Linked DNA regions of Caenorhabditis elegans. The protein of the gene in region 1 interacts with the protein of each later gene in a pairwise test. Each region holds a gene or a part of one and is shown in the gene's direction. Other genes may lie near its edges.

Region 1 (6,761 bases):
GGTAGATCATTCCGATTGATTACTGCTAGAACATGACTTTGGGTAATCTTGGCGGGATCATAAATCAGATCATTACAATGAGTTTGAACAAGGGAATTGAATTCCGCTTGATAATAATATTTCTCCATCAGGTTGCTCTCCAAATTATGAACATGAAAAACGTACTTCTTCAAGCCTTGGTGAAACTCGGAATACTTGGCCACCAAGCTATCCTCAGTGACTTCAAATTTAGATGTACCTTGGTAAAAGTCGAAGTTTCCGGTATGGTCATTGTAAATGTACTTGATGTAGTTTCCATTACAACTGTTGATCACACATACAACCTCTTTCTGACTAGCTTGGCAGATCCTAACTTTGAAAGTTGGTAGAGAATCTAGGTAGTTGAGATCGTCCACGTCGAGATCATCCTCATCATCTTCATCCTCATCGTCCTCTTCGGAATCATAATCAGATTCTACAGCAGAATCTGGGTTTTCCGGGTTTCCAGTCACATCTATACCCTTCTCTATCTCCTGCATCATAAGAGTACGTACAACAACCGGTGGAATCGCTTGGAATGGTCCAAGATGTGAGGATTGCTTTCTGATTCCACCTCTAAGATCTCTCTCAATCACAATATTCTCATTCTTTAATCCCTTAATAACCACGACCAGGTTACCATGAGTGACGAGGCTCGGGTTGTACACGAGTTCCGGAAAGCTGACCTCCACGAACCCGCCAGTCGAGTGAGAATAGGCGTACTGCTCGATCTTGTTCGTGATCCCATTGTGCACAAAAATGACGAGCGTCGAGGTCTTATTACAGACCACCGAGTACTTAGGATAAAGATCCGCTTCGGTGACTCTCGCTTGACACTGAAGACACTTGTGTGGGACCAGCTTGGGTGACGCCGGATGCTTGTTGAACATGTAGTATTGACCAAATCGTTGAACACCGATTGTTCGCGTTCTTGTCACGGGACAATTTCCCATTGCAAACTTGGGCAATGGTCTTGGGCACATGATGGGCCTGACGCCTGGAGCTGGTTGAGCTGGGTATTGAGGGTACATGGCTTGTTGGAGATGTTTCTGGAAAATGAAGTGTGAAGTTTCAGAATTAGATGAGGGAAAAAAGGAAAATGATTGTAGGAATGCTTTTTTAAGGGATTTTTGATTTTTTCAACCACTCACAGTGGACATGAGGGCAAGAAATTTGCAGGAAAATTGAAGGAATGTTAATTGTGAAATTCAAGAAACTCTACATTTTTTGAACGATTTCAGACGTTTTGAACTTCCCAAAAGACATACGTTTTGTAACGTTTTGTGAAAAATTCCGGGCTTTTTAAAGTATCGGCATGATATTTGTCCGTTTTGTGGCAATTTTGAGACATTTCATGGACCTGGAGGGACCAGCAAATCGACAACCCTTTTTGCTCACTTTTCAATTTCCGATAATAGTGTACATAAAGAGACTCTGAATGTTTGAAATTCACGGAATTTCCCAAGAGTTGGCAGAAAAAATTACAGCAAAATTTGAGGATAGTGAATTAAACATGATTATGAAGGATGGAACAAAGTGAGCAAAAAGTATTGTCAATGTACGATGTACTGTTTTTCAGAGGGTTTTCTGCCCTAAAAGTTATTTTCTTTGCATTTTGATAGGAGTTTTGAGTTCAAAAAGGTTTGATAGACAATTAAAAACGACTTCTTTTTTGAAAAATCACAAAAAAAATCATAAATTACCAAGACGGTAACTGGCAACAAACATGAAACAAAATCAGAAAAGAGCAACCTCTTCGTGTGCTGGTACAATGAATGAATGAATGAATGAATAAGAAATGTGTACTGTCGATCTGACAGAGCAACTACGACAATTGGGCGGAGTTTAGGTGTACGCATCTGTTTGTCAATTGACATTCCGATCGATTGTTGACCATTACAGTGGTATATCGATCTGAAACTAGGGTACTTTGGTCAAAAAATGGATCTTGCTGCTGTTTCATGAGGTTTTTTTCCAATTATTTTGGATTTATTGACAAGGAAAGAATGGAATAGAAAATGTTAAATTTCACATCAACTTTGAAAGCTTATATCTCAGTTATCGTTTGCCTTATTCAAAAATTGTCAACTAACAAAATATTTATTAGCTCTTTTTCTATAATTTTGTAACTAATAATATATTGATATCTTTAAAATGAACCGAGATATAACGTTTCAAAGTTAAGTAGTCGGGTGCAATACTAATAGAGGAAATACGGTATTTGAAACCTTAAAGACTGCTTCATAGGCTTGAAAATATTAACGGATTTGCATATAAAATAATGGTCTTACAAATTTCCGTAATAAAGAAGGGAAAAACTATTTTAAAATGCAGTATTTGTGCTCAAACTTCCAATTAACTATAGGCATTGTAGGTATAACATAATAATTTTTCCGTGCTCATTCAGTTGCTAGTTACCATTCCCCGTGTTTTTTCTGTCGACTCCTGGAAGGTTCTATGATTAACAAACATTTTGACCCTCCTTGAATCGTCTTTTGTGTAGCTGAAGTCGAGTAGAAGTTGCTTCTGCCGGTTTTTTTCTGAAACTCAAGAACAAGACGCTAAAAAGTTATGTTGTTTCTGCACTAAAACAATACGCATAAAACTTGTCTCATCTCAATTTTTTGAACAAAGCAAATGAAATATCAAACATAGAAGAAAATTTTTCATCGAATTCTCACAGGTTTAATTTAATAATGTTATCACTTGGAGCACATCACATCAAAGTCCCCATAAGAGGCAGTCCTCCTACACAAGGACTGTCCTGAGAAGGTTTCTAGGTTTGTTTTTTTCTAGGTTTGTTTTTTTCTATAATCCTTCGTTTGGTCAGAGATGTTTCTTTACAGATTTATAGCATACACAAACACTGTCTCTCCCAGTCGATCTACAACAAAACACGGATAGCCTGTACGAGAGATGCACGACGCAGACGGGCAGACGGTGGTCGTAAATGTTCGCGGGCCTTGCTCAAAAGGTCATTATGCAGTAGACTGTCGGTCTCTTCTTCCTGTTCTCTCATTTTCATTTTCTTTATTTTATCCAATTCTTTTTTTTCGAATTGTAAGTTTATGAATTTTCCCTTTTCTCCTCTATAAGAGCCATTTTTATTAAATTATTCCAATTTGTAGTTTTCACTTCAAAAATGGTTCTGCAATTAATCTTTTTTTTTTCAAAAGTAATCCTGCGCCTTTAGACTGTTTCGGTACTCCATTCCGCTAGGCTAATAAATTGACCTAATTTTTAGGTGCCAAAAAATGTCAAAAGAACACTCGTAAAACTTTGATCTACTGATTTTTAATCCGTTGGCTGATGTGGGAACGGGGTAGTCAAATCTATGTGACCTTGCGCGCGCAACTTATCATTCTGAAAATTATGCTAGTTCTAGAAGTTCCTCGAAAGCGTTTTTCTAGAATATTTAAGTTTAATTTTTTTCACTTTTTTAAGAACTTACTGTTTCAAGAAAAAATACTTGAAAGTTTCGTTTTAAACTGTTAGAGAACGGATCTTTAAAGTCGGTTGAAATTGGAATTCCTGCGCAAGTTCTTAATTTTCTGGACGAGAAATATATAAAAAACTGTTCAAAACTAAAACAATTGTCGCCTGGGAATCTGAAATTCTGCTAATCTTGAGCTGGGTTTTCACTTACTTACTGTCCTCTAGTGCACCCAACAAACTTTACTTTGAAATAATATATAAATTTTTCTTTTCATTGCCAGTTCTGACGTTCTTTTTCTTTTTTTTTTGAAATCCTTATAATTCCAAAATTCCAGATCATCATCTCTACTTGTCATGTCATTCATTGCATATCCATGTGCTGTTCCAACTCAGCGCCAAGTTCCAATGTCTCCTCCAACAACTCCACGGATCCTCATGAAACTCTGCCCGATCATGGAGATTCCCATCATTGGTGGACCCCGTCAAAATGGAACCTACAATGTGTTCATCTTCGACCTAAAAATCAGGAAGTTCATTCCACACAGATGCTCCAGTTGTGCAGTGAAGATCCTCGAAGATCACCTGTCACCGATGTATGCCTCGGGAAGTGTGATTTTTATGAGAAATGAGGTTACGCAAGAGGTGGAGCAGTATGTCTACTCGTTCGAGACTGGTGGCTTCCAGCAGGTCGACTATCCGGAGTTGGTTTACTCGGCTGAAAAATTCACGGAATCAAGTTTTATTGTGATGATTGAGAACTCTGATGGAAAGAAAGTTCTGATCGAGCGTGGAGGAAACGAAGCAGTTCGGAAGTTGGAGTACAGACTTGGGAAGTGCGTGGAAATGCCAAAAGTTGAGGTTCAACTCTTGGCCGCCGAAGAATTTGATGACGCGGATCCATGGTCTGACAACGACTCCCTCAGTTCTGAACATCTTGACTACAATGAAACACTTCCAGCATTTAAAACCACATTCTGCCAAGACTTTCAGATGTACGTTCTCTACATTATCACCAGCCGTGGTCATTATGAAAAGTACATATACAATCAGAGCACCAGTCAATTCGAGATCCTCGACTGTGAGAAGTGTCCGGATACAACCAGAGAAGTGGATCTTCTCCCCAAGTATGCAGAGTTTTGCGAAGAGATTCAGGCTTATGTGATTCACGTCTTCAACTCCTTCACAGATCGCATGGAGCAATATGTCTTCGACTCGAAGATTCAGGGATTTGTTGAAGTGAATCAGCCAGAGCTGAAGTATGACTCATCGAAGGATCAGGATCCGACTTCGAGCATCTTCTTCGTTCTCAAAGGGACAACAGTGATCATGAGGGGTGCACAAGGAAGACTGAAGAAGGAGGTATATTGCTCGATCAAAAAACATTTCGTGGAGGTTCCCAATTCGGTGATCAAGAGTTTTGATACTCAGTTTATGGAGAAGAAGCAGAAGATGGACAAGAAGAAGAAGGCCAAAAAGATCAAGAAGTCCAAGAAGAAGGCATCCAAAGAATCTCAAGAGTTGGATGTCTTGGTCGAGAAGATCCGTCTTTGTGATGATCCGTTTTCTGATGGCCCATCTTGCTCAACTTCTCCAGATATTCCGGAGGATGCCCCAGGTAACCCTTAACACTTAATCCATACTATTATTCATTTTTCTAAAAATATACTCATTTCAGACGATGGCATGTCAATTCTCAAACAAAAATTCGTGGAAAGCCTGACAACTCTCTACGGCGGATCGTTGCCACCATATGTTCAGAAGGAATTGGAACAGATTTGAGGATTTGGATTAAAATTAGTTTTTTTTGTTAAATTGCATATTTTTTTATTTTATTTTGTCTTGCGGTCTCATTTTTCTTCCCGATGTTCCATAAATAAAAGACAACTGTAAATTTGTGTGCCTTTAGAAACGGCGGGAAAAAAATCATTGCTGAAAATCTTGCTTGACGTCATAGTCTTTTAGAATGGGATTGCCAGGTTCTCTTTGAGGCAAATTAAAATGGGGCACGTTTCCAAAAGAAATCCGGCAAATGGATGTAATTTTCTCTGATTCTATGAATCTTCTGTCCACATTTGTAGTCCAATTCAAGGGTGGGCGGCAATTGCCGTTCGGCAAATTTTTTTGTCGACAAACTCGGCAAAGCGGCAAGATGCCGATTTGCCGGAAGTTTTGAATTCCGGCAATTTGCCGGTTTACCGATTTGCCGGAAGTTTTCAATTCCGGAGGTTTGCCGGTTTGCCAATTGCCGGAAGTGTTTAGAGGGGCTTTTTATATGACAGAAGCACTTAAAACTGTGCCTTTTTGAAATTTTATTCCGTTTTCTTTAGATATATTCATAGAGTTTGCTTATTTTTAAAAATAGATGTAGGAACATTCATAGGATGCGTAAAAGTCTGCTGAGTGAAATCGAAATTCTGAAATTTCCAAAAAAAATGTGCAAAACCACAATTTGCCCGTTTTTCTGGCAAATTTGGCAAAGCGTCAATTTGCCGGTTTGCTGATTTGCCGGAACTTTTCAATTCCGGCAATTTGCCGATTTGCCGGAAATTTTCATTTCCGCCAATTTGCAAATTCCGGCAAAAAATCATTTGCCGTCCACCCCTGGTCGAATTACTCTCAGGTGGATCGCGTCCTTGCTCAGTGTCTGGGAATTTAAGCTGACCTTGCTTTGTCTTAATAATGGGAGTATAGGAGAAATTTATGAAGAAATGTGAGAAGTACATGTAGCCAAGATATGGGCGGTGCCATATTCAGTTCATGCTCCGCCCATATCTTGGATACTTTTCTGTTCAGATTGCCGATAATTCTTTCTATTAGATCAGCAGCCGTAACATGTTGAGATTTACCATATCTGTAAAATCAGTTCCCAGAAATTTTGTTAAAAACCATCAATATACTACATTCGTTTGTAGATCTTCTCCTGGTAGTCGTCTCAATCTTACATCAGTCGATAAAAACATCTGCCAATTCCCACCTCTTTCCCGAATCTGGTATCCCAAGAGCTGAGTATCGATTTAAATTGGTTGCAGCGTTTGCTCCAGATGCTCTGAGTTGTCTTGAAGAGCAGAAGACATCATTCAGTCTGCCTGCATCGCCTCTAGTAGGTCGTTTTTCTTTTCTCTAGTCAGTCTCTAGAGCTCCTGTTTCCATTTTTTTGTTCTCGGCTATGAACTACAGTATTTGTTTCCTTTTTGCCTTTTTCAAATATGATGTATTCTTGAAATTGATATGTCCGTAGTTCCCTTTTCTAAAAGTGTATCTTGTAGTTACTTGTGGTTTTACCAAAAATTGGACAAAAAATATCAGTT
Region 2 (8,547 bases), on another chromosome or scaffold:
GAGAAAAATTCAAGATAAATGCAAATTATTTATTTAAAAATCACTGAAAATGGGTAAAACTGTAAAATTATGAGTTCCGACGATAGCAAGCCTGAAATTAGCTTATTTCACAGTTTCACCCATTCTCAGTTATTTTTAAATAAATAATTTGCATTTATCTTCTCTCTTGTTTTCCGATAAAAATACACAAAGAATGAAGAAAATCAGTGTAATAATGAGAAAAAATAAAATAAATTAATAAAAATAATGCAAGTGCGCTCCAGCGAACGAATTCATTCGGCGGAAATTCGAATAGGAATTAGAGGAAAACTGAGATTTTTGCAATTTTCAAAAAATCATATGAAATCTAGAAAATTTTTTATCATGATATTCGGTCATTGTGGTAACATAGGCGTGTTTTAAAACAATTTCCCCATTTCGAATTTGAACTCATTATAAATACTTGCTTGGCAGTTTGGGAATTTTGGTTACAACGCATATAGAGACTTTGGAAAAGTCTCAATATTTTATAAGAAAAGCCACTCTAGAGAGATCAATTGAAAATAAAAAATAAAAAAGATCCTTTGTATGCTGCTTGCAGCTTCTCCGGCGATCGATTTCATATAATTCATTAGTGACTAGGGGTGGCAAGAGTGCGACCTAGGTCGCTAGGTCGCTGTTTTCATTTAGGTCGCATTGCGACCTGCGACCTAGCGACCTGCGACCTAGCGATCTGGGTTGCATTGCGACCTGCGACCTAGCGACCTGGGTCGCATTGCGACCTGCGACCTAGCGACCTAGGTCGCATTGCGACCTGAATTACCGACATTTTGTTCTCTTTCGGTTTTGATTCACTTGAGTTGTTAAAATCCGTATAACTCGAAAACTGCATTGCGACCTGAATTACCGACAATTTTTATACTAACAAATTGCTACAAATCATTTATTTTACATTGTTTTCGATTTCTCATCCATAAGACACCTTGTCGAAAAAAGTTAGAACAGCCGACATCCGCCGGATTTGCTGCTTTTTTCTACGTTTTTAATTCGAAAAGTGGAAAATGAAATTTTAGAAACAACAAAAACCACAAAAACGTGAACTTTTTGAAAAAATTTGCTGAAATGCATGGTTTTATTTGTAGAAATGAATTCTTTGTTCCGTACTTTTGAAAAAAAACTACGCATAAACTTATAAAATCTTAATAGAGAAAATGTTAGTGGAATATATCATACATATTCTGCAATCTTTAGTTTTCGAGTTATACGGATTTTAACAACTCAAGTGAATCAAAACCGAAAGAGAACAAAATGTCGGTAATTCAGGTCGCGATGCGACCTAGGTCGCTAGGTCGCAGGTCGCAAAGCGACCCAGGTCGCTAGGTCGCAGGTCGCAAAGCGACCCAGGTCGCTAGGTCGCAGGTCGCAATGCGACCTAGGTCGCGATGCGACCTAACCCTCTAGGTCGCAGGTCGACCTAGGTCGACCTATAGCCACCCCTATTAGTGACTCATGCTTCCGGGGGGTGCATGGCTCAGTGCCTATGCGCGCTGCTTGCAATCACAAGGTCACAAGTTCGACCCCCACCTCCTAGGTCCTTCCAGCCTTAAATGGGAATTCAGTGTTCGTTCCACTGTCTTACAGCTTACATACGGCATTTATCCAGGCAAGACCTGTAGAAAAAAACCAAAAAAAAAAAAAAAAAAAAATTTTGCCACGTGGGGCAACCTGGCAGTATTTAATGATTTCATTTTGGTATTGAAACATGAGACAGTCTAGAAAATTAATTGGCAGAAGTTATCGACCACAGTCCTCAAGATTTTCATTTGATCCCACGTGGCAAACTGTTTGAGTTTTCTTCATTTTTTCTTTGTGTCATAATTTGAAATTTTACTTGCCACATTTTCAGACATTTTTCCGTAAAGAAAATTGGCTGCTCACTTGGAAACGCTGAAATTAGTCTAAAAATCGATAATTCAGTATTAATTTTAACTTACTTTACTGAAACATTACTGAAAAATGTATGAAACTGTGAAAAATTAAAGTTTTAAGTTTTAAATCAAAGAAAATATTAAGAAAAATGTCAAAGATCAGGTCAATAATTTGCGCTGGAATTGAAAAATAATTCGGCCCTTTTTTTTTGCAAAATTGAAAAAAATCATAAAATTTCAAAGAAAATGTTCGGAATTTTTTTACAGTTTTATTCGATATTTACATTGAAACTCTATTTTGTCATTAAGGTACAAAAAACCCACAAACGCTACTCCACCTTTAAACTAACAAGTACACGGAACCAAAGATTTTTCCTTATTTTTCTTCTTCTCGTGTTTTATTCAGTGATTATCTTTCCGGTCACCAATATTCCAGAGAATTAACTATCAATATCCGACTTTTTACTCAACTGTTCCTCAAACCTCCAATACTCTTGAAAAACAGCCGGTACCATACAAACGTTTTGTGTTGTTTTGGTAATACCCCTGCCGCATTTTAACTGTGTTTTTGCCGCGCGCATGCATTCCCCTGACCGTTTCCCCACACACTATTTCGCGCTCTCTTTCTCTACCTCTCTCACTCTCTCACTTCTCGCACTCACTCACTCACAGGTCTCCATTCTTGCTTTTTGGTCCCACCGGTTTTCATTAATTCCTCTCTCCCTCATTATTTTCTTTACATTTTTACATTTTTACATTTTGTAATATTTCATTAAGTTTTTTTTGTTGCAGGTATGAGTTCTTCAAAGCTTTCCTCATGTGATCTGCCAAACTCCAGAGGAAACAGAGAAGGTAAGCATTTTTTAAATCAATTTTTTTCTTCAATTTGTAATTTCAGGTCACCGCTCTCATAGTCGAAGCAATTTGGAAAGTGCATCGAAAAATATGGGACACCACATTAGTATTGAAGAATTGTTTTATTCGTTCGTAAAGCAAGACGGTGTTCAGTCAACAAGCCGTGGATATGGTGGCAGATCTCACCACGGATCCGTGTCTTTTAACGGGAATCCTTCCATGAACGGCGACCAGTTGAATCACTCGATTAATCAATCGATGAATGCAGCTCGAGCTAACAGAAACGTCTTCAACTCATCGAGCATTCCTCCAACGGCCCCCGTGTTCTCTGCAGACTTCCGTCAAAACTCGCAGACACGCAATAACTCCAGCTGGAATCAACGGAACTTGTCAGTTTCCACTTATCAGTACAACACTCAGCAGTCAAATACAGGGCACAGTAGAAGCCGTCCGAATGGACAACTTGGCCGAAGCTTCTCGGATGGATCGAACAATCATGGCCATGCTGGGAATGTGTCATTCAGTGGGAGTTCCGTTCCAGCTGGGTTCCAGAAACAAGAAACCAAGGCTTACCAACAACTTCATGGAAATAAAAGCTTCAACGCTCAAGCTGGAGTTCAAGCTCCTGGAGATCACAAGGACAAGAGATATGGAGGCATGTTTGGAAATGAGCTTATCAATTCGATCAATTCTAGTTTTGGCCAACAGCATGATGTCTTCAAGCCGCGGAATTTGAACCAGAGCTTTTCCGGATTTACTATTAATGAAGCTTTAACAAGGAAGCATCATCAAGAAGGATCAAGAAACGATAGAAGAAGATCACATGGGAGCACTAATGTCCAGGATCGTGCTTTCTACAACACAGATGACAATGAACTGTCTGACGACGTGTTCATAGAAGATTCCAATGGTGTTGCAAACGGTCCAAAATCTGTCACTAACAAATCTCAACAACAGTCTCGCGGAACGAAGGATGCTGGCAGTCAAGTGGCGGAGAAACTGAACTCTTCCAGAGGAGCTGCTCAACGTAATCTGAAATCCAATGTGTTCAGCAAGGACGGCACCGAACTTTCTGTGGAACAGTTACTGGAAATTGTCAGCATGAAGATCGGACAACACTTGCACTCAGCTTCCAGTTCTCACGGAGAATGCAGCAATTTGAATCGGACATTACCAGCTAGAAGTGATCTAAATTGCTCAATTGGTGAAGACTTCGACTCCAGTTTTCTGGATGTAAACAATCGAACCCTGCCAGAAAATCTTTCGAAGAAAACTTCAGTGCAGAAACATCGTCGTGGAAGTTCTCGTAGTGCGTCCCGTCTCGCCAGTCTTGACGTGACGCTGGAGACTGTAGAAGAAGATGTCGAACCCACACCAAGTCCACATCCGAGTTCTCCTCCAAAGATCTCAAGAAGAAAGTGGACAGGAACTTTTGATGCCAACGTTGAGGAAATGAGACGTTTACTTCATGGGGACCCTGGGAAGCCGAAATCTACAAAACGTGCTTTCTCAAGGTATGTAGTGATAAAAAGTGAAGTATTTAGTAAAAGTTTGAATTTCAGCAAGGATCAGAGAACACCTTCCTTGTCAATCATCACAAGCCCGAAGGCTTTGATCGGAGAAAAATGTCTGACAGCATCCAACAAGTTAGTTTTACACTTGGAGCTGCTTTTTTCATTATGTTTGTATTGCAGGTCTTCAAAGATTGACAAGTCACTTGGCATGATTGATTCGAAACTCACAAAGTCACCAATGTACTCCGCCACGGTTTCTGGGAAGGAAGCAACTTCAGGAAACCGAATCGCTCGAAAGTTGACTCCAGGGCTTGATGGACTGAAAAGGTATGGAACTACAAAGAACAAACAACATTTTTAAATGTTCTTTTCCAGCTCTCATTGTACCGGAAATCCAGTTTCCATAGATTGTAATGGTTGCCCAACTCCGAAAAGAAGTGGAATCAATTGTGATAATCGTATGGCTGAAGTGAACAACCAAGCCGGGAGATGGTCCTCTGAAGCCACCAGGTAAGGCCCAAATCAATAAATTCGCAATGAGTTTCGTATTATATAAATTTCTGAATTCTCAAAAAATCGTGGATCAAACATATGGAAAATAATGTGCAAGTTGAGTAGATTGAGGTCAAGACTAGACCTCTCGAGTAAAAAAATAGAGCATTAATCTTGCACAACTCCGCAAAAAGCCCTCTGCTTTTGTCTATTGCCCAGAAGGTGTGCGGCAAATTTGTACGGTTTTGCCGAAACAACTTTGCCGAATTAGCCTAATTTGCCGTTTGCCGAGCTCAGACAATTTTGATCAAAGCTATGGATTTTGTCGCCAAAAATTTAGTAGTGCTCGGCAACTTTTGAGATTTTCCACACATCCCTGGAGCCCAGTCTAATCACTTGATATTATAATTACTAAACGGTGAATTGCGAGCCCGCTAATAAATTTAATTTCCTCAGAATATATAAATTTTTGCCGCACAGCTTGATTCGATTTCTGTAACATACTTTCCAAGTACAATTAATTTTTTTTTCAGTCAGCCTGCCCCACTCCCTTGCAAGTCAGCCAACCCGACCGAAGATTCTTCTCAAGATGCACCTCCAACTTCACCACCACCTCGTATTTCTGATAGCTTGACGGCATTCCTGGAAGCTCAACAAGACTTCAATGATTATATTGATGCTCACTACAAAGAGAAGACACAACTCTTGAAAGTGAATTTGAATATTCACGGGATGTCACCTGAAAGATGGCTGTACTTGAATTATTTTTGCACCGAGACAATTCCAAGATTGGATGGTCCTTATGCCGATGGTAAGAAAGATAAGACATATTTAATCTTGAAAAACGTAAATTTTTTCAGATCCAAGGGTTCCACCTGTGCGAAATATATTCAGAAGATGGTTTCTCCGGTTTGCTGAAGCCTGCTTAGGAAATCCAAATGACCTTGCAGTTCAGAAAGATATTGCTCTCGAGTTCGTTCAGGCTCGGCTTGACGATACGAGCAGCTCCACAGATTCCACCAATATGCTCTACATGTTGTGGAAGGAGTGTATCGGACAGAAGAATATCATCTCAATTGCTGATGCGTGTCTCCTTGTATATCTTCGGAAATCGGATCCTGTCAGATACTTGAATGCAAAACGAGAATGGCTGGAATCTATTTTTGACCCACCCAGAGATCAATGATTGTACTGATATATATCTATTTCATGTCGAGTATTTTGTATTTTATTCTTGTTCATTGACCTTTTAACCACTCTTTTTATACTCCAACTTGCTCCTTCTTGTGAATTTATTTATGGTCTGCCCAGGAACTTGTAACGGGTAGTTTTCTATTGTTATCAGGACTGCTGCTCATTCAAAATTCAAAGTTGAATTTCAATAAAGCGAATGTTTGAAATAGGTATATAATTGGCAACTGATTAGTAGAAATATGTCTCTTCTTTGGCTTTTTGTAAAAGTTAGGCAAAAAAGTGGTCACGGATTCAATTTCAAAAGCGATGCTTCAGACTTATCCGCTACGATAGCGAAGGTTCCGTTTGTACTGAAAAACACAGTAGAGGAAATTGGTATAGGCGCGTATAAATAGAATTCTAGTAGTTGACTCTGAAATATAAAAAGTTATTAACAATCCAAATTGGCAATTACTGATTATAAGGATAGGAATGTTAAGTTTTCTTAATACTACTAGATACTACCCTCTACATTTTTATTGATAGGCATGCCTACTTGCCTGCCTAACTTCATTTGAAGGTCTTCTCTTTGAACGTCCACTTGCGCCATTTCCCGCCTTAAACTTGTTGTGTTTTCCTTGGATGGCTATTTGACTAGCGATTTCAGCTTTCAAGAATGAAAACAATGTTAAGTGCTGGCCTTAGATATCCAGTGTTTCCTGTGAAATTTCATTTCAGTGGCAGCATGCCAGACCAAATCCAAAAAAACCAAAGGGGAAATTGTTAAAAACTACTCCTATGATCCCAAAATGACAAATTATCATAGTCAAAATTTTCTAGAATATCGCTTACATCCGAAGCCTAAGCCTACGCCAAGGCCTAAGCCAAATCATAGGCCTACGCATAGGCCTAAGCCTAAGCCTGATGAAATAAAACAGTATAGTTTCATTTAAATGAAACACCAGAACCATCAAAAACACTTGATTTTTTTTCAAATTTTTTTTAAACTAAAATATTTTTAAAGTTCGAAGGAAAACTGTTTAGCATCTTTTTCTTTTTGTGTGTCACTCTACATTAATATAAAATTTTATTGCAGTCCGCTACACACTTTTTCATTGTTTTTGTTTCTCTGCTCCTCTACTTTCTTATCAAAATTTTTTCCCGGAGGTATCATTTGGTCTTCCTGCGGCGGCTTGTGTGGCTGGCACCACCATTTTTTTCTGGATTAAAACAAATTAAAAAAATTTATGTATTGTATGTGTGGTGAGTTTTAAAGTTATATTAGTTTCAAGAAGCTAATTTTCATTACTTTCAGAAATTTAATTTCTGCTATCCGCACCCCGAATGTCTACAAAAAATCTTCTGACTCAAGATGGTAAATTGGTGAGTTTTTGTATCAAAAAAGTTTCGAAAACCTTCAGAAATTAATTTCAGAGTAAGAATCGGCAAGTCGAGGAGAAAAATATCTTTAATGCAAATCCCACATTGTAAGTGCTTTTCTCGAAAATCTATAATAACATGGAATAAGGTTATGGAATAATGTATACATTAGATACATAGTAGCGTCCTATAAAAATACCAAACTGCCAAAAAATATTAAAAATTTTGAAACTTCGGTCTAATTAAAAGATATCAAGCAGATAAACGCTTAAGATTAGCCCAAAACTGAAACATTTCAATTTTGAACAATCGTTAGCTAATTAAAAACTACAAGCATTAAACCGACTCCAAAATACCATTAAAAAAGCTCACGAGAATTGCGCCAGTAGCCTTCTTGGATCATTTCCAAGTAGGAGCCTATGTCATAATAATACTATATTTTCAGAGTGAATAAAATTGTCTGCGACCTCGAATCATTCTGAGACTTTTGCGAAGTCAACAAGGACATGAACATTTATGATAATTTCGACGGAATGGCATTTGACTGATAATTGTTTATATAACTGTTTCATTTTTCATATCCTTTATTATATTTCCCCTCCCCCCTTTATTCAATGTTCCCATTTTTCAACTATTCCTTTACTTTCCACTTTCTGAATTTCTTGTTTCATGTTTCAAATCCCGATTCTCATTGCCTAATCCCACAAGTTTTAAAATAAACTTGTCACAATAATAAACCCCCAAACAGTATTCAATTCTCGCTGCTCTCGTGCTATTCTTGTGCTATTCTTGGATTTTCTGAATCCAACACGTTTCAGGTCTTTTGGTCTGCTGTTCTGTTCAAAAACAGTTTGAAGCAATCTCTATTATTACGGTACACTCATTCTAGGACTCATTGGTAGTGAAGTTCTTGAGGGAAACGACACCCAACTAGTGATAGCCGCCCCAGTTATTTTGTCGAAATGGAGTAAATATTTAGAGCCAAGTTTTCCAGATTTAAGTAATTTTACCAAGATGTTTAGATAAAATCATTAGAAATCCTAAAAACCGAAAGATTTGTGAATTGCAATTTTCTCTATTGTACTCTAGAGCTTTGGAGCTAATTTACTTATTGATTCTTTGACTTGGAGCTAGAAACTCTCGCCCTTCCGTTCTCATTTGTCTCTTTCTCTGCCCTCTCTATAGTTTCCTACAAATTAGGCAGGGCACCTTACTCTACGTGGTGT
Region 3 (7,100 bases), on another chromosome or scaffold:
AAAGTGAGAAGGGGCATGTATTTGTTGCTTTCAAATAAATGTAGATAGCAATACTCGAAACTACGACCACTCCTCCTGTGATTATGAGAGTGTTATTCTCCACCATTTCTGAATAGATGAATTTATTAACAAATTGCAGTTGAATAATTTCAATTTAAAAAAAAGGCGACCGTTTCGATGCGCCCACTCTCCCAGTAGTTCTTTCTCATTTTCACGTTTTTCTTGCGTTATCAATCAATACCTGATAAGAAAATCTCTCGCCATTCTATTCGGAAAACTGTACTTTACCACAAAGTCACAATTCTGATGTATAAGGAAAATTGAACCGTTACAACTTTTACAAATAATTGTTATTTTATAAATGCTTTATTTTTAACCAACATATTTATCAGTTACAGTCACCGATAATACAAAATTGATTCAACCACATACTAATTTGAATTAAGAAAAATAAAATAATGGTTTAATTCTAGGTATTTCCAAAACAAACTTTAGAAAACCTAGAAAAACCCATAAATTTGACAATTAAAAGTCATTGGAATTGCGAGTAGAAACATCCACCGAAGGAAGCGAAAGGGTTGAAGTCATCGAGTGTGAGTGTGTCGCCCGTGCCTCTACCTGAAAAAAAAACTTGTTTCAAATAAAGTTTACGACTACAACTTTAGTTGTAGCGTGAAAACCTAGTTAATTTAACAACAACAACAAAAAATATCACGATCAATATTAGATATTTTTAAAAGAATCATGATAAATCAGCTCACCTTTGTCCGGTTGAACAAGCCGCCAATAGCATCTTCGTTCCGGGCGTGGAACGTTTCTTTTTCAGTATGCTGGCAGACGTGAGATGCCTTGCCAGCTGAGCTAAAAGCATCAACAGACCAAACGAAACGACAGTAGTGAGGGACACGGGGCGCAAACTCGATGAAATGGAATAGAAACTTAGAATAAAGTGTGGTATGGGATATAGCAATTAATGATGATGATGATTGAGAAAGGGAAATATTATAATTTGACAATGCTGGATAATTTATGAAGAGATTGATAAAGAAAAAAGAGGATACAAGCTTAAATAACAAAAGAAACGAGTATGGCGCCCAATGGCTCACTACTGCCGCCCGTGATCAATAGTCATCAAGGTCAATGTTGTCGAGCTCGTCTTCAAGGTCTACATGAGCCAAGTCAACGCGATAACGGAGCAATCCTCCGATACCTCCGAATCCTCGAACAAACTGGGCTCCTTCTTGCGACTTATCTGTGACGATTTCCAAAGCTGCTCCGAAGTTCTACAAAACATTAATAAAAAATTAAATTTCGATAAAGCGAGCGCCCACCTTGTAGTTATTAGCAAACCATTCCAAAAGTGGCATAGTCTCAATAATTTCCATATCTTGTCCAGTTTCACTGTCGGTGAAATGAGATTTGTCCTTCTCCTCGTCAGGTCTCAGATTCAGAAGAATGTCCTCTCCGAGTGAATTTTTCATCTTGTACCGAACAATATCCAAATTCTCCCAGCAGATGAGAGTTTCAATAGCTCCCATTTCAAGTGCGGCAAGAGTGTCTTTAACTCCGAAAACGTATTTTCCAGTGTCTTGGCTGATTTCATCGAAATATCCACCAATCAGTTTCTTTTCCTGAATGAACTTAACACTTGCCAGCGTATCGGCAGCAAGTTCAATAGCTTGGTTGAAACCATTTTCACCACCATAAGCAATATCGACAGTCTTGATCATCTTGGCTTGAAGTCTTTGATCAAACATATCAGATTGTCCCAACTCTGTCTTGAAATCTGCACTACCAGCAAGAATAAGTCCAGCAACTGTAACCTTGTCGTTCTTGATAAATTGTTCCACCGAATTTTCAGCTACTTTACGGACGTAATTGTGCCGCTTCTCATTACGGAGACGAGCAAAACGGACAGCAGATTGACCTCCTCTACCGTGCTTCTTTGGAAGATCGACAGTGAACTTGTGCAGAACTTCACGAGTGTTTCCTTGGAGTGTTCCGAACAGACAACCGTTTCCATCCATAATGATAAATCCGAACTTGTTATCGTCAGCAAGAAGACCTGAAAAATGGTATATTTTATGATGCATGATGAAAATTAGAAATACCTTGAAGAGCTTCGGTGTGAAATTTGTTGTCGCAGAGATACAATGAAGTATTGATTGCTTTGAATGGCTCAAAATCAATGTTAACTTTCTTTTCCTTTCCTTCGTCGGTCATGATTGTTCCACAGTAAACGACCAATCCATTTGGTGGGACTTTGTTGTAGAGTTTCAATCTTCCCTGTACTGATGTGATAGCTCCCAAAACGGAAAGTCTGTTGACACGAGACTTGATGTTAGATGCCGTTCCGTACTCTTCGGCCAACATTCTCTGGATTCTAGCCACTTGATCTTTTGGTGGAATGATCAGCGAAATCATAGAAGTTCCATTTCTGTAAAAAAACAAATGTAAAATAAACGCTTCACGAAAATAGTTACCCTCTGGCTAATTCCAAACTTTTGATGAGCCGTTTAATTTTCCACATTTCGACATTTCTATCGGCGGCGTCATCGCCTCCGGCGGTAGCACCTGCTGCGGGAGCGCTCATATTCTATTTGTGCTGCACGTCACCGATTACCTGTAATTGTATTATATAAAACACGAAAAGAGAGTTAAAGTAATTAATTCGGGGAAGAAACTCAAAAATGCGAAAAAAAAGATATTTATAGAGAACTGGTTATTCTACATTGCACAGAGTTGTGATGGAAAATTAGAATATTGTGCAACATGTTGCAATGGTTTCAATTTGATTTTTTTAGAAGAAAATGTATTTCGTTTTCTCTGAGCAATGACAAAATGATGAATAAAACATTTCTGAACAATTTAAACTGCAAAAATCGATAATTGATGACGCGTAAAAACTTTAAAAACTGAAAATGGGAAAAGAATTTAAATGGTGCCAAGGAACACGAATACGGTTTGTGGAAGGGTCTCGGCGCGAAGTAATGTCCGATTGTCCACACTTTCTCCGCGGCCTAGTCTCCGAAACAAGTCAGCCACGTCCTCAATGTTCGAAATTCGAAAACATTTTTCAGCTTTCATCAGAACTCCAGGACTGTTTCCAGAATTTATTAGTTTTTTTCGCCAAAATATTATATATGTACCACGGCAGTTCATTATATTGGTTGTATTACACGTTTCTTTTCGTTATTAACTCTTTTTTTCCCGTTACCGCCTAATAGATGAAAACGAATTTCAATAATTCTTTCAGATCACCACAATGGATGATAATACGGCTCCAAAAAAGAATTCTGAAAAGAAGGCACGCGTCTTTGACCTCCAAGCAATGTTCGCGCAAACGATAAGCAATGCTCCCAGAACTGAGGAACCAACTCACGTTCCGCAGTCGGTATCGGTGTCTTCTAAATCAGAATCTGGTGTTTCTTCTTCAGCTGTATCTGATGATGAAGATGGTAAGCCGAATATAATGTTTTAATTATTTCAAATTTGTTTTTTCCAGATTTCATGCCAGATCTACCTCCAGGATTCCAAATGCAACAGTCTGAAGCGGGCCCCTCCTCGTCTCGAGCTGAAGGTCCCGAAGATAGTGATGATAGCGATTTTGACGAGACAGAAGCAATCTCCATCATCAAACTGATTCCAGCTGCATGTGAAGCGAAGATCAGCCATGGCACTCAAGCCATCAGTGCACTTCGGGTTGAGCCTCCTGGTGTTCGGTTTGCCAGTGGAGGGCTTGACTATTACGTGAAGCTGTTCGATTTTCAAAAAATGGACATGTCAATGAGATACGACAAAGAGCTTCTGCCTGCAGAAAGTCACGTTATCAATTCCCTGGCATTCTCTCCGAACGGCGAAACTCTTGTAGTAGCTAGTGGAGAAGCTATCATTCGCCTACTGGATCGAGCAGGAAAACAATGGTCTGAAACAGTTCGTGGAGATCAGTATATTATTGATTTAAACATCACTAAAGGACACACAGCAACAGTTAACTGTGTCGAATTCAATCCACTAAACAAGAACGAGTTTATCTCTTGTTCTGATGATGGAAGTCTACGACTATGGAACCTCGATGATCATAAAGTAATCACCAAATGCATCAACAAGCACAGGAAAGTCATCAAAACAAAAGGAGCTAATGGAAAACGTGTCAGCCCGCAAGTTTGCACGTTTTCTCCTGACGGAAAATGGATTGCCGCCGGTTGTGATGACGGATCTGTTCAAGCATGGAAGTATGGATCGCAATATGTAAGTTGAAGTTCAAAAACACTGTTTATTCTCATATTTTAATTTTAGGTCAATGTAAATTACCTTGTACGCAAAGCTCACAACGGCTCGATTACTTCTATTGCTTTTTCGCCCGATTCAAAGAGATTACTGTCTAGAGGTTTTGATGACACTCTGAAGATGTGGAGCTTAGATAACCCAAAAGAGCCGCTTCTTGTGAAAACCGGTCTCGAAAACGCTTTCAAAAGGTATCCTTCTATTAAAAACTTCACCATAAGTATATTTTTTGTAGTACTGATTGCGGATTCTCCCCTCGTGCCGAGGTTGTCTTCACTGGTACATCGTCACCCAACAAGGATACACCTGGAACATTACAATTCTTTGATCCAATGACATTTGATCTTGTCTATAAAATTGATTACCCTGGAATTTCGTGCCACCGAATTCAGTGGCACCCGCGATTGAATCAAATTATCGCTGGACTCTCGGATGGCACCATTCACGTGTACTACGATCAAACGATGTCACAGCGAGGAGTTATGTCATGTGTGACGAAGCCACTCAAAAGAAATCGCGCATCTGAAGTTGTTCGAGAAGATATGGTTCTTTCTCGTAAGTTAAACAATTTTTTTCGAAAAATATTTATCTTCATATTTCAGCTCTTTCCCTCGAAATGTTCCAACCGCGCGGAGAGGAAGGAGAAGAAAAGGAAGTCACTGGATGGAGAATCAAGAAGTATCTCCGAATGCAGGATAACAAGCTTCGTCCCGAGTTCCGGAAGCCTGCAGATATGCCTATCAACGGAAAGAGCGCAAATGGACGTGTGGCTGCAAGTGGTGGAAGTCTTCATTCGTATTTGGCAAAGCAAATCGGAACTGCTCGTAATGCCGAGTTCCTAAAAGATACCGATGTTCGTGCAAGCATCCTGAAACATGCTAAAGACGCCGAAGAGAATCCATTGTACATTGATAAAGCGTATCGAAAGACACAGCCAAAGAAGATTTTCCAAGAAACTGCAGTCGAGCCAGAAGATCAAGATGACGAAGAGCTACAGCCTGTCTTCAAAATGCCGAGAACGAAGTAGTCGTTGCATTAATTTTTTGTTTTTCATCTGTCTGTCTCCCTCTTGTAATATTGTTTTCCTATTTTTTTCTCTATTTTTTGTGTCCCAATAAATATAGAGTCAATGATCACATGATGTTGGAGAAATTGTGTGTTCGCCATAGTCATTGTCTTGTCCAAATATCTAACGCTAGCTACACTCTAGCATGCTGCTCACTTCTATCTTTCCCATTCTTCCAACTCCCCCCCATTTCAACAATATGTGGTCGTTTGTGTCAGTGTCCGGTGGACGATGGCTACACTTTTGCCGCAAGAATTGTATCCAATCGGGATCAGGTTCACTTTTAAAATTGAACCCGGTTCGGATGTTTCGCTTTTGATCTCCTAATCCAAAAACCTGAAACTGTATTTTTAAAAACGTTTCTATTATGGATTTAATTCCAAAAATTGAGAAAACTATATTTAAAGAAGAAATTATTGACATGGCCTCCATTCCATTTCTTTCTTATCATACATTTTCCCACAACTGATACCATGTGCAGCCTATTCAAAGGGTCACTTTTTGCTGAAGTGTGTAGAACAAACATGCAATCCGAAATTACAGTTCCACAACTGTTTACTCTACAATTTCCTTTTCACATTTTCTTCCTGTTTCAGTGCCGAGAAATTGTAGCTAGTAGCAAACAAAACAACGCCGTGAAATTTCGTCCTTGAAGTTTCCCTTTCCCTCCCGAGAAACATCCAAGTTCTCGACGGTTATATCGATAATTATCTTCTTTTTGGTCGAACTTTCTGTCTGTTAAAATAATGATAGGTTACGGTTGAAAACATAAATCTAACATTTTTTCGAGATTAGACTTGAGATCAATCTATAAAATGAGTCAAGTCGTATGAAGTTTCATCTACATACTTGACCACAAGTTGATCACTGAATTGAACTGCGCCTAGATCTCACACTATACCCGAAAACAATCTCCACCCTCCCAATTAAATAGAAATAGTGACATCATTCAAACCTAACTAACTTTGTAAAATGTCTATTGTTTTTAGATTTGCGTAAATTCTTATACTGAACGTATTTTAATGTTTCAATGAGTTGTATACATCTAAATTGTTATAGACAAAAACGTTTCCAACAAATCATCATTCCAAATTTCGGCAGTTGATAACTGAAACTTAGATTTCATCAGTTTTCTAGACTTCAATTTCACGAAATATTTTGCTAACGGCGATTAAAATATTTTGGCATTTCTCTATATGATTGGTTACTTGTTTGCGCGACTGTCGTCATGTGATCATCATTATTCTGACCGCTTCCTTCTCGTCTCCGAATATCGTTTTTTTTTCGTTGACTTGCCCCCCTCCGCCTTCTCTGTCCTTCATGAAACATACATCATCTACCAGAAAATTTATTTAGGCAACTGCGTTTGATAATGATAACTAGGCAGTATATAACCCCAGGCTGACCCTTGAAGGTCACGTTGACCATTCTGAAAACGCTCGCTATAAATTTAATTTTCCTTCAATTTCATTGCTGATTTTTCAGAAATGGCATTCACCGAACTAGTGGAAACCCAACGCAAGTACTTCCGTACAGGAGAGACAAAACCAGTCAAATTCAGAAAACAACAACTTCTGAAACTTAAAAAGTTTATCGAGGAGAACCGCGAGGCTTTGTCAGAAGCTGTTTGGAAGGATTTGAGAAGAGTAAGTTAGAATTTTCAAGTATAAAATTCAAATTTCTAACATTTTCAGCGCCATGAATCCACTGAAATTCTAGAAATCGGAATGACCATTCAAGAGATTGA
Region 4 (7,582 bases), on another chromosome or scaffold:
CGTAATTATAAACCAGCTAAAGATGTTGCACCTGAGACACCGAAAGAAATGCCTTTGTGGATGGCACTTCGTCGATCAACTGCGGCGCCAGTTCTGTTCAAACCCTCAGAAGACCGGTACATAGACGGTGGAATAATCTCCAATAACCCTGCATTGGATTTGATGAGCGAAGTTCACGCCTACAACAGAGAACTTCAGCTTTCTGGAAGAAAATCAGACGCAGTTCAAATGAACGTTCTTGTATCGTTTGGAACAGGGCAGATTCCAAGCACAGTGATCGAAACCTTGTCCATTGACAGTAACTCACCACTACAATCCATAAAAACTATTAAGAATCTGGCAGCAATGTTTATCGATCAAGCGACTGCGTCAGAAGGTGCACCGGTGGCAAGATCCAGGCAATGGGCAGACTCTTTGGAAATCCCTTTCTTCAGATTCTCCGCACCATTATCAAAAGTATGTTTTCGACCTTTATCTCATCAGTGTCACAAAACATTTATTGGCAGTTTATGAAATAGTTCTCTAAATTTTAGCTGTAAAATATTTTTGAAAAATAAATGAACATTTTTATTTCAGAATATATTTCTTTCTTCAACTAGCGATTTGGATGTATGCACAATGATGTGGGATTCATTCATCTACTGTCGAAAGCATCGCGATTATATTGATGAGCTTGTAAAAGTGCTCAAGCACGACACCGACCACCCGCACGTCAAAACACCATTCACAGATCTCTAATTATTAGATTTCATGTCATAAACAGATTTGATAGACCTCCAGCATTTGTGTGTACAAATTGTATATTTCAGTTGTGTATAATAATGTACTTTGCAAAATTGATTAGCTGATATGTGTTATCATTTTTCCCCTCATAATCTCCTACCCCAGTTTTACTCTGATTTCCCTGTTGATCTTCCTATGGAATACCGGCACTTTTATCAAAATTTTAGATTTGTTTTATTGCTTTAAACGCCAAACCGCTCTCCTTTTCGCTCAAACTCGCGCTACCCTATTTTGTTGTGTCAATTTGTGACTGTCATCAGTTGGTTCTCTCTTCTTTCTACTCTCTGAATCAAAGTCTACCAGTATGATAATTCACTTTTCAATATTTTTTCATGCATTTATATCTATGAGTTGAATGAATTGGGCTTTAATAAATAATTGGGATCAAACGACGATTGTCTCAAGAAAAAGTGTCACTTGCGAAGACGTGTAAGACGATAACATCAAGTGTTGAAAGCTAGATGTTGAAATAAGGTCATTCAATTTTCATTTTCAATTTGATGAAACCTGAATTTTTCTTGGAATTTCCTACAAAAAATTTGATGATTTGTGGTTTCTTATAATTACTACCTGAAAAGTCCCAGTTGTCTATTGTATATACATGCCAAACTTTTGCTTTTTTGAGCTTTTTTTTCAACCCAGACTTCACAAATACTTAACATTTGGTATGTTGGTAACTTTTTTGTCATAACACATTTTTCGAACTTTGTTGTATTTTTTGTCAAAAAATGAGTTCCGTATTTTTTCTATTAGTTTTGCAGCCTCTAATAGTGTTGCAGTCTTTATTAGTCTTTCACCTCTACGGGTCAATCCAAAATTTGTCTTACAAGCAAGATTGATTCAGGAAACACGGTAATTCTTTCTACAATTGTTCTGGCACTATATAATATGTTCTAGTAAGGTTATTTACAAGTTACAGCTCATAATATTACTAACAATTTGTTTTCCCTTTTGCACAAATACATTTTAATTGTCAGATCAACTTTAGGTATCCATATTTCTTAAATTACCAAAGAGTAGTTGAAAAAAAAGAAGCTAGAGCATATGACGGTCATTTTTGTCTGCAAGAACATTTGAACCAGCAAGCCCGTCTCACCCAATGCGGTGATAGTGTCAGGTGGTAGATTTGTATCGAGTGCTCCACAGAAGAGCAGCAGCTAAAGAGCATAGGGGTAGAAAAAGAAGAACGTATGTGTGTGTGTGTGCTTCGCCAGAATTGTGATACGTAGAGACAAGACGACGGAGATTGGTTGATGAGACGAAGAGAGAAACTCGGGACCCGTTGCTATCTTCTTTATCTTTAGACCGAAACTTTGAAGATGAAGAAGATGAAGCGTCCGGAAATATAACACACTAATAACCCTTCGTTTTATCATTTTTGACTCAAAATCATACTGATTAGCATCAATCGTTCAACCAGTTCTTTCTCATCCTTAACCATCCATGAAAATCCTGACACCTGTTGTGCCTAGAATTTGGTTTCAAATGGCTTGTACTTTCTCTCCTCCTTAACAACAGCAGCTGTCCACTGCGTTAGAAAACCGGAAACCCGGCACGGATCCGTGTTGGCTGCTGCCCCTGAAGAGCTTGGTTATCTTTTTTGCTAGGTGTCACAAGTGTTGATGAATTTTTGGAACCAACCTGAGCTTTTTTTCTTTTTGCGTTTTTTGTTCTACCCAGTCGAGTGATAAACGTTAATTGTATGTGTTCTAAAAAACAACACATTTTCCGAGAAAATTATGTGAAATTTGTGTATATTTAATCAAAAGTTTAGAAGCATAAAGAATATAATATAAAATATAAATTGCTTTATTTTATTTTTAGTTTTGGTTTTTTGTGTAGAATTATACGACCCTTTTTAAATTTTATGATAAATTTCTAATAATCCAGATAAATTTTGCTCTGGAACCATATTAAATTTGAGTGTATGGCTTCAAAACCTTCTTTTTTTAATTTCAAAAATAGAGTTTCCACTTAAAAGTTACAACATCAGAAACTCACTTCCTCACAACGTTTATCTTCAAATATCACGAAACGAGGTACATATATATCTAAAATCTTAATCATAATCTTCAGTTTTATCCTAAAACTCTCGAACAAGATGTTTCTGGCCACATGATTTTTTAACACATGTCTGAAGATTCTTGGTTGTTGGCTCCTAACAACGCCTGCCTTCCTATGTCATTGCTCAATTTTTGACAACTTCCAAACAGAACCCATATTTACTCCTTCAGTCACACGACAATTTAACTGATTTTCCTGATTGCCCCCTTTTCGTCCCGCTTTCCTAACTAAAAGCCGTCACTTCTCATTTGCCAACACAAATTGACATGATGTTTGCATGTAAATAATCGAACCGATCTATAAGCAAAGCGTGTGTTTATAACATGTATTTTTCCTCAAACACCACACGTTTACCTTTTATTCTCATGACTTCCGGTTGCCATTTTCAGGAAGGATAACGAGGACAACAAAAACTGGTAAAAACATTTGAAAAGCAACGTATTCATTTAAAGTGATGTAAAAAATGGAAGGCATCGAGGAATCATTTGCACCTTTATCTCCCAAAAGCCCATTTGCACGCAGAAACGGAAGAAGGTAGATTTTTCGAAATTTTTTAGATTTTCAAACTTTAAAAAATTTAATGATTTAGGTTTGCCAGAATCCTAATGCACTCAAATTTAACATTTCGTTTTCAAAATACTTATCTTTGCTTGCGCAAAAGATATTTTGAATAAAGATTTGAGGTCTGGAATTAACCATTTGAGCTAATCGGAAAAGAATTAAGAGAAAAACGGGCGAAACCCGACATTTAGATTCATCCAACTTGTTTCAAAAGCTTTCAAAAAAAGTATAATAATTTTTTAAGCACCGTGTTAATGATGCAGGGTGGCCTATAATTGTGGGCCATCGTGTAACGTAATTTCCCTTCTGTTGTGGAACTTTTTTTCAAAGTATATTTGAAACATAAATTTAATTTTATGTAGACAACTTCAATTTTACTGTAAAAACAACAATTCACATCATATGCATAAGAAATTGTTAAAAGAAGAGTAACAGTTTGGTTTGTTTTTTCTTCGTGCTACAACTGATTCTACAATCTGCTTAAAATAAATATTTTTACCAAGACGTCTTGAAGCAATTCTAAGAGTTGCAATACAGACCTGTCTTGTATTTTTGTTCTTGAAAAATAACTATGTGAAAGGTCTAAAATTCTCCAGTTTTACTAAAAACGTTTCGAAACATTGAATTGCTTCCAACAACCTTTTGATAAATGTCCTTCCATAAATCTAACCAGTGGCCCACATTTTGCAATTTGATTTTTCTGCAATCACTCTCTGGTCCATCTCTTTCTCCCCTTTCATCCCAATCAAAATTGAATGTTTCATCGCTTATCCGCTTGTCTACCGCCACGACCGGCGAGTGCAGCTAGCGTACGATGTAGTGAGCGTGGGATTACACACTCACCAACAGAACCTTGAGGAGAGACCTCTCGGCTCCTATCTATTCCATCTCAATATTTCATGTAATTGATTGAATGACTTTATTTTGGACTTTATCTATTCACTGACTACTTGCAAAGATGGATCCAGAAATACCAGGGTACAAAATATGTTGAATTTGTAGTAGAATGTTTATAAATCAAAAAATTCACTTACGGTCTCCCTCATTATATCCATTTATTTGCAAAAAATTTAGTTAGGTGAATTTAGAAAAAGGTGGTTTTTGTGTTTATCGGTTGCCCAGATAAAACAGTGCAATAAAATTGGAAAAATAATGAAGTGTATTGTTGTACATAAAAAATTTACTATTGGTTACAGTGCAACATCGAGTACTGTGAGTTTTTGAAAAATATTGATATCAAAAATTTATTTTTTTTACCGTTACAACAAGAATGGCAGGCGTTCGGCAATTCGCATCAAATTATCCACCAATTTTAGCAATTCAAGCAGTTTTCAACGAGATGCACATTTTTCAGAATCAGTGCCCCGGTGGCCGAGCGGTCGAAGGCGTGAGACTTATGATCTCATTGGGTTAAACCAGTCGCGGGTTCGAATCCCGCCCGGGGCAATATCCTTTTTTTACTATTAAATCAAGTTTTACCAAAGAATAACCATTAAAAGAAAAATAATTCGAACTGTACATTAAATAATTGTAACTACTTCAGCCCTTTTTAACCAAGTTTAGGCCACTATAGAAACATTTTCAGTGCAAAGTTTTCAGCGCATCCCCAACTTTAATTTATTTTACCCAACTTTAGCCAGTTTTTCACTAAATGCATTCCTAAAGCTGATAAGGTTGGTAGATATGTTGCGGCGTTCTTTCAAGAAAATATCTTTACATTTCTTCACCACAAACATTTTAATTGGAATATTAATGTTTTAGTATCAACTTTGTGAGTTGAAAAATTTTTGAAAGAAGCAAATTTTGCTAGCTGGAAATAATTCATATACTACTTCACTGTTTATTTCGTTGAATATCAACAATTTATTGTGTTTCAGTCTTCGCATTCAACGACTAGTCGACTGTCAACACTTCCATTATTCGTCTGTTGAATTGGGTCCCGTCCGTGTTGCCATCATCGCAATAAACGCTGACGAGAATGCAACAGAGCGGATAAAAATGCGTGTGGAAAGTGAATCAAATTCATGGTGAGTTGGTCATTCCTTCTGTTTCCAATTTGTCTTCAAAAATTCGTGCTCCGTGGTGTTTCTCTCGGTTTTTCTTTCAATGTTCTGCCACACAGAAATCAAACAAAAAAGCCACGAGTGAAGTCTCATGGGAGATGAGAATAAAGGCTGAATAAAGTTAGTACGAGGAAGAACAAAAAAGAAAAAAGAAAGAAAAACGGAAACTTGAAAGGTTTTCCATCATTGATTCATTCAGGCTTGTCGAACGTTCTCGGGAGGATTGGGCAGTCTTCGACAGACAGCTGCATCGTTGTGTGTTCGAACGAAGGCATTCACGACTTGACGAGCTGTTTCCTCTTATTCATCTGGAAACGGCAAAGTTCGAGGTGACGGCTTCTTTTCAAAATCACTAGTCATCACATTTGATGTTTACAGGAAGTTCTTGTCAAGTATACGGAGCGATTATCGGAACTCACTGGCAGCATTATAACGTGCTATCCTGTTCTGAAATTTTTAGAAGTAAGCGAAATTGTTTTTAACTCCAAACTTCAATTTAATTTAAATTTAAAACTGGCTATGGTTTAGACTTTTTACAGTATCTCTTCAAATTAGAAAAGTTAAATTAAAAAAGATTCGAATAAACCAAATGAACCCAAGACGATAAATATTTCATTTCAAGTATTGCAAACATTTCAGATAGGAAAATTTGTTTTCCTTTCTGACAGAATAGTAAGTCTGTATTTCAAAGAGTTATTCAATTATTTGAACCTTTCTCACAAAATTGGTGAGTTCTAGTACAACCTTGAAAAAATATCTTGTTCTTCTTATGATTTTGACACCACTCGCTCTTAACTGCAGTGCATATTTCATTTCTGTGTTTGTTTTTATTGCAAAACATATGTACAATGTAATGCACACCTACATTATGCATTAGTATCAGGACTTCGTCAAACAAGTTTTTTTTTCATTCTTTTTGCATTTGTTTCAGTCAGTTCTGAAACTGTTCTCTCAAACTATCACTTAACAAAAAATTACGATCTTCTAAATGTAGCCCAAAACGTTTTCAGTTGAAATTGAAAACGTTCATGCGTTATTTTTCAAACCTGCGGAATAATCGTTTTTATAAATAAGTATTTACACGCTTTTTATTACATAGACAAACATTCCAGAATGAACTACTCCAATTCTTTCTAATTCACTAAACTTTCTGAGTTATTTCGATTGATATAGCTATTTTATTTAATAGGAATTATAGTTGTACTAAATTTCGACAATCCTTTCATTATTTCTCTTACGCGCATAATCTCTGAAAACACAGATTGACTCTCGTGGCGGACATTTTGAACCAGCTGAAGAAACTTCGATCAACGTGCCAGCCATCGCAGCTGCAGTAGTCACAAAGGATTTTGAGCCGACCGAAAGCTCACAGCTGCGACTGCGGGTATCTTTCAAATTTGGCCCGGCGACTACAAGTGTAAACAAAAACATTGCAGGTCGGTGATATCGTCTCAATTACGGAAATGTCAACAGCAAGTCCCAGCGAGCAAACATTTTGGAAAGCAAAACTGACTATATCCAACCAGAAGATTGTAGATCCGCAAAATGCACGGCTAGGTTTTGAAGTAAGTCTATTTAATTATTATTAATTGGAAATGTTGTATCAACGTGCCTTTGGCTCTTCTGAACTTAAAATTGCAAAAGTTTTGGTTAATGCTAAGTAATTATACGAAGATTTTTGTTCAACATCTTTTCTAAGAGCCCATTCTGATTTAAAAAGCACAAGACATAAATATATTTTTACTTTTTTCAAGCGTTCAATGCCTTCTGCTTCAGTCTAAATTGATCTTCCAGAAGTACCTTATGTTTTAAATATATTTACTATCTGATATTTAAATTGTCATTAGATTTTTTAATAAACAAAATTGTAATTAACAAAGAACGAGTGAGTAATTGAGACTGCTACTCAAATGTGATGTATATCATATACATGCATTAGTTAATTTTTTGAAAGTTTCCAATTCCGGCAACAAATATATCTTTTTCACAAATTCAGACTATTCATATTACCCATTAGTTCTGCTTAACTGACAAAATAATTCCAGATCGGTTATTTTCCACGCGACTGCGTGATGCTCATTGATGACAAACGCCTTCCTAATCCATTGAAC

What was found.
Region 2: the proteins of T04D3.1 (region 1) and meg-4 interact in a two-hybrid assay, tested with the Caenorhabditis elegans proteins (one large-scale study listed by BioGRID).
Region 3: the proteins of T04D3.1 (region 1) and gad-1 interact in a two-hybrid assay, tested with the Caenorhabditis elegans proteins (one large-scale study listed by BioGRID).
Region 4: the proteins of T04D3.1 (region 1) and rrc-1 interact in a two-hybrid assay, tested with the Caenorhabditis elegans proteins (one large-scale study listed by BioGRID).

Annotation. Positions count from the first base shown.
Region 1 is NC_003279.8:13,301,339-13,308,099, reverse strand, and holds T04D3.1 (NTF2 domain-containing protein), read left to right. Parts: upstream 1-3,788; 5' UTR 3,789-3,807; coding exon 3,808-5,068; intron 5,069-5,128; coding exon 5,129-5,232; 3' UTR 5,233-5,341; downstream 5,342-6,761. Other genes in the region: sdz-30 (SKN-1 Dependent Zygotic transcript), read right to left, coding at 1-1,049.
Region 2 is NC_003284.9:1,680,255-1,688,801, forward strand, and holds meg-4 (J domain-containing protein), read left to right. Parts: upstream 1-2,699; 5' UTR 2,700-2,701; coding exon 2,702-2,759; intron 2,760-2,805; coding exon 2,806-4,276; intron 4,277-4,324; coding exon 4,325-4,408; intron 4,409-4,456; coding exon 4,457-4,603; intron 4,604-4,651; coding exon 4,652-4,786; intron 4,787-5,301; coding exon 5,302-5,579; intron 5,580-5,628; coding exon 5,629-5,954; 3' UTR 5,955-6,165; downstream 6,166-8,547. Other genes in the region: C36C9.11 (Transposase), read left to right, coding at 7,286-7,324, 7,376-7,428, 7,767-7,803.
Region 3 is NC_003283.11:6,429,653-6,436,752, reverse strand, and holds gad-1 (Gastrulation defective protein 1), read left to right. Parts: upstream 1-3,256; 5' UTR 3,257-3,265; coding exon 3,266-3,458; intron 3,459-3,505; coding exon 3,506-4,251; intron 4,252-4,299; coding exon 4,300-4,478; intron 4,479-4,522; coding exon 4,523-4,842; intron 4,843-4,889; coding exon 4,890-5,314; 3' UTR 5,315-5,433; downstream 5,434-7,100. Other genes in the region: hpo-19 (NADH-cytochrome b5 reductase), read right to left, coding at 1-106; erfa-1 (Eukaryotic peptide chain release factor subunit 1), read right to left, coding at 1,122-1,283, 1,332-2,065, 2,112-2,437, 2,484-2,593; alh-4 (Aldehyde dehydrogenase), read left to right, coding at 6,841-6,999, 7,048-7,100.
Region 4 is NC_003284.9:9,826,939-9,834,520, reverse strand, and holds the start of rrc-1 (GTPase-activating protein rrc-1), read left to right. Parts: upstream 1-3,232; 5' UTR 3,233-3,310; coding exon 3,311-3,381; intron 3,382-4,217; exon of another isoform or gene 4,218-4,366; coding exon of another isoform or gene 4,367-4,386; intron 4,387-4,769; exon of another isoform or gene 4,770-4,854; intron 4,855-5,285; coding exon 5,286-5,435; intron 5,436-5,670; coding exon 5,671-5,800; intron 5,801-5,849; coding exon 5,850-5,933; intron 5,934-6,732; coding exon 6,733-6,855; intron 6,856-6,907; coding exon 6,908-7,036; intron 7,037-7,516; coding exon 7,517-7,582. Other genes in the region: ipla-2 (Intracellular phospholipase A2), read left to right, coding at 1-456, 577-738. UniProt on the Caenorhabditis elegans protein: Functions as a GTPase-activating protein (GAP) for ced-10/rac-1 and CDC42.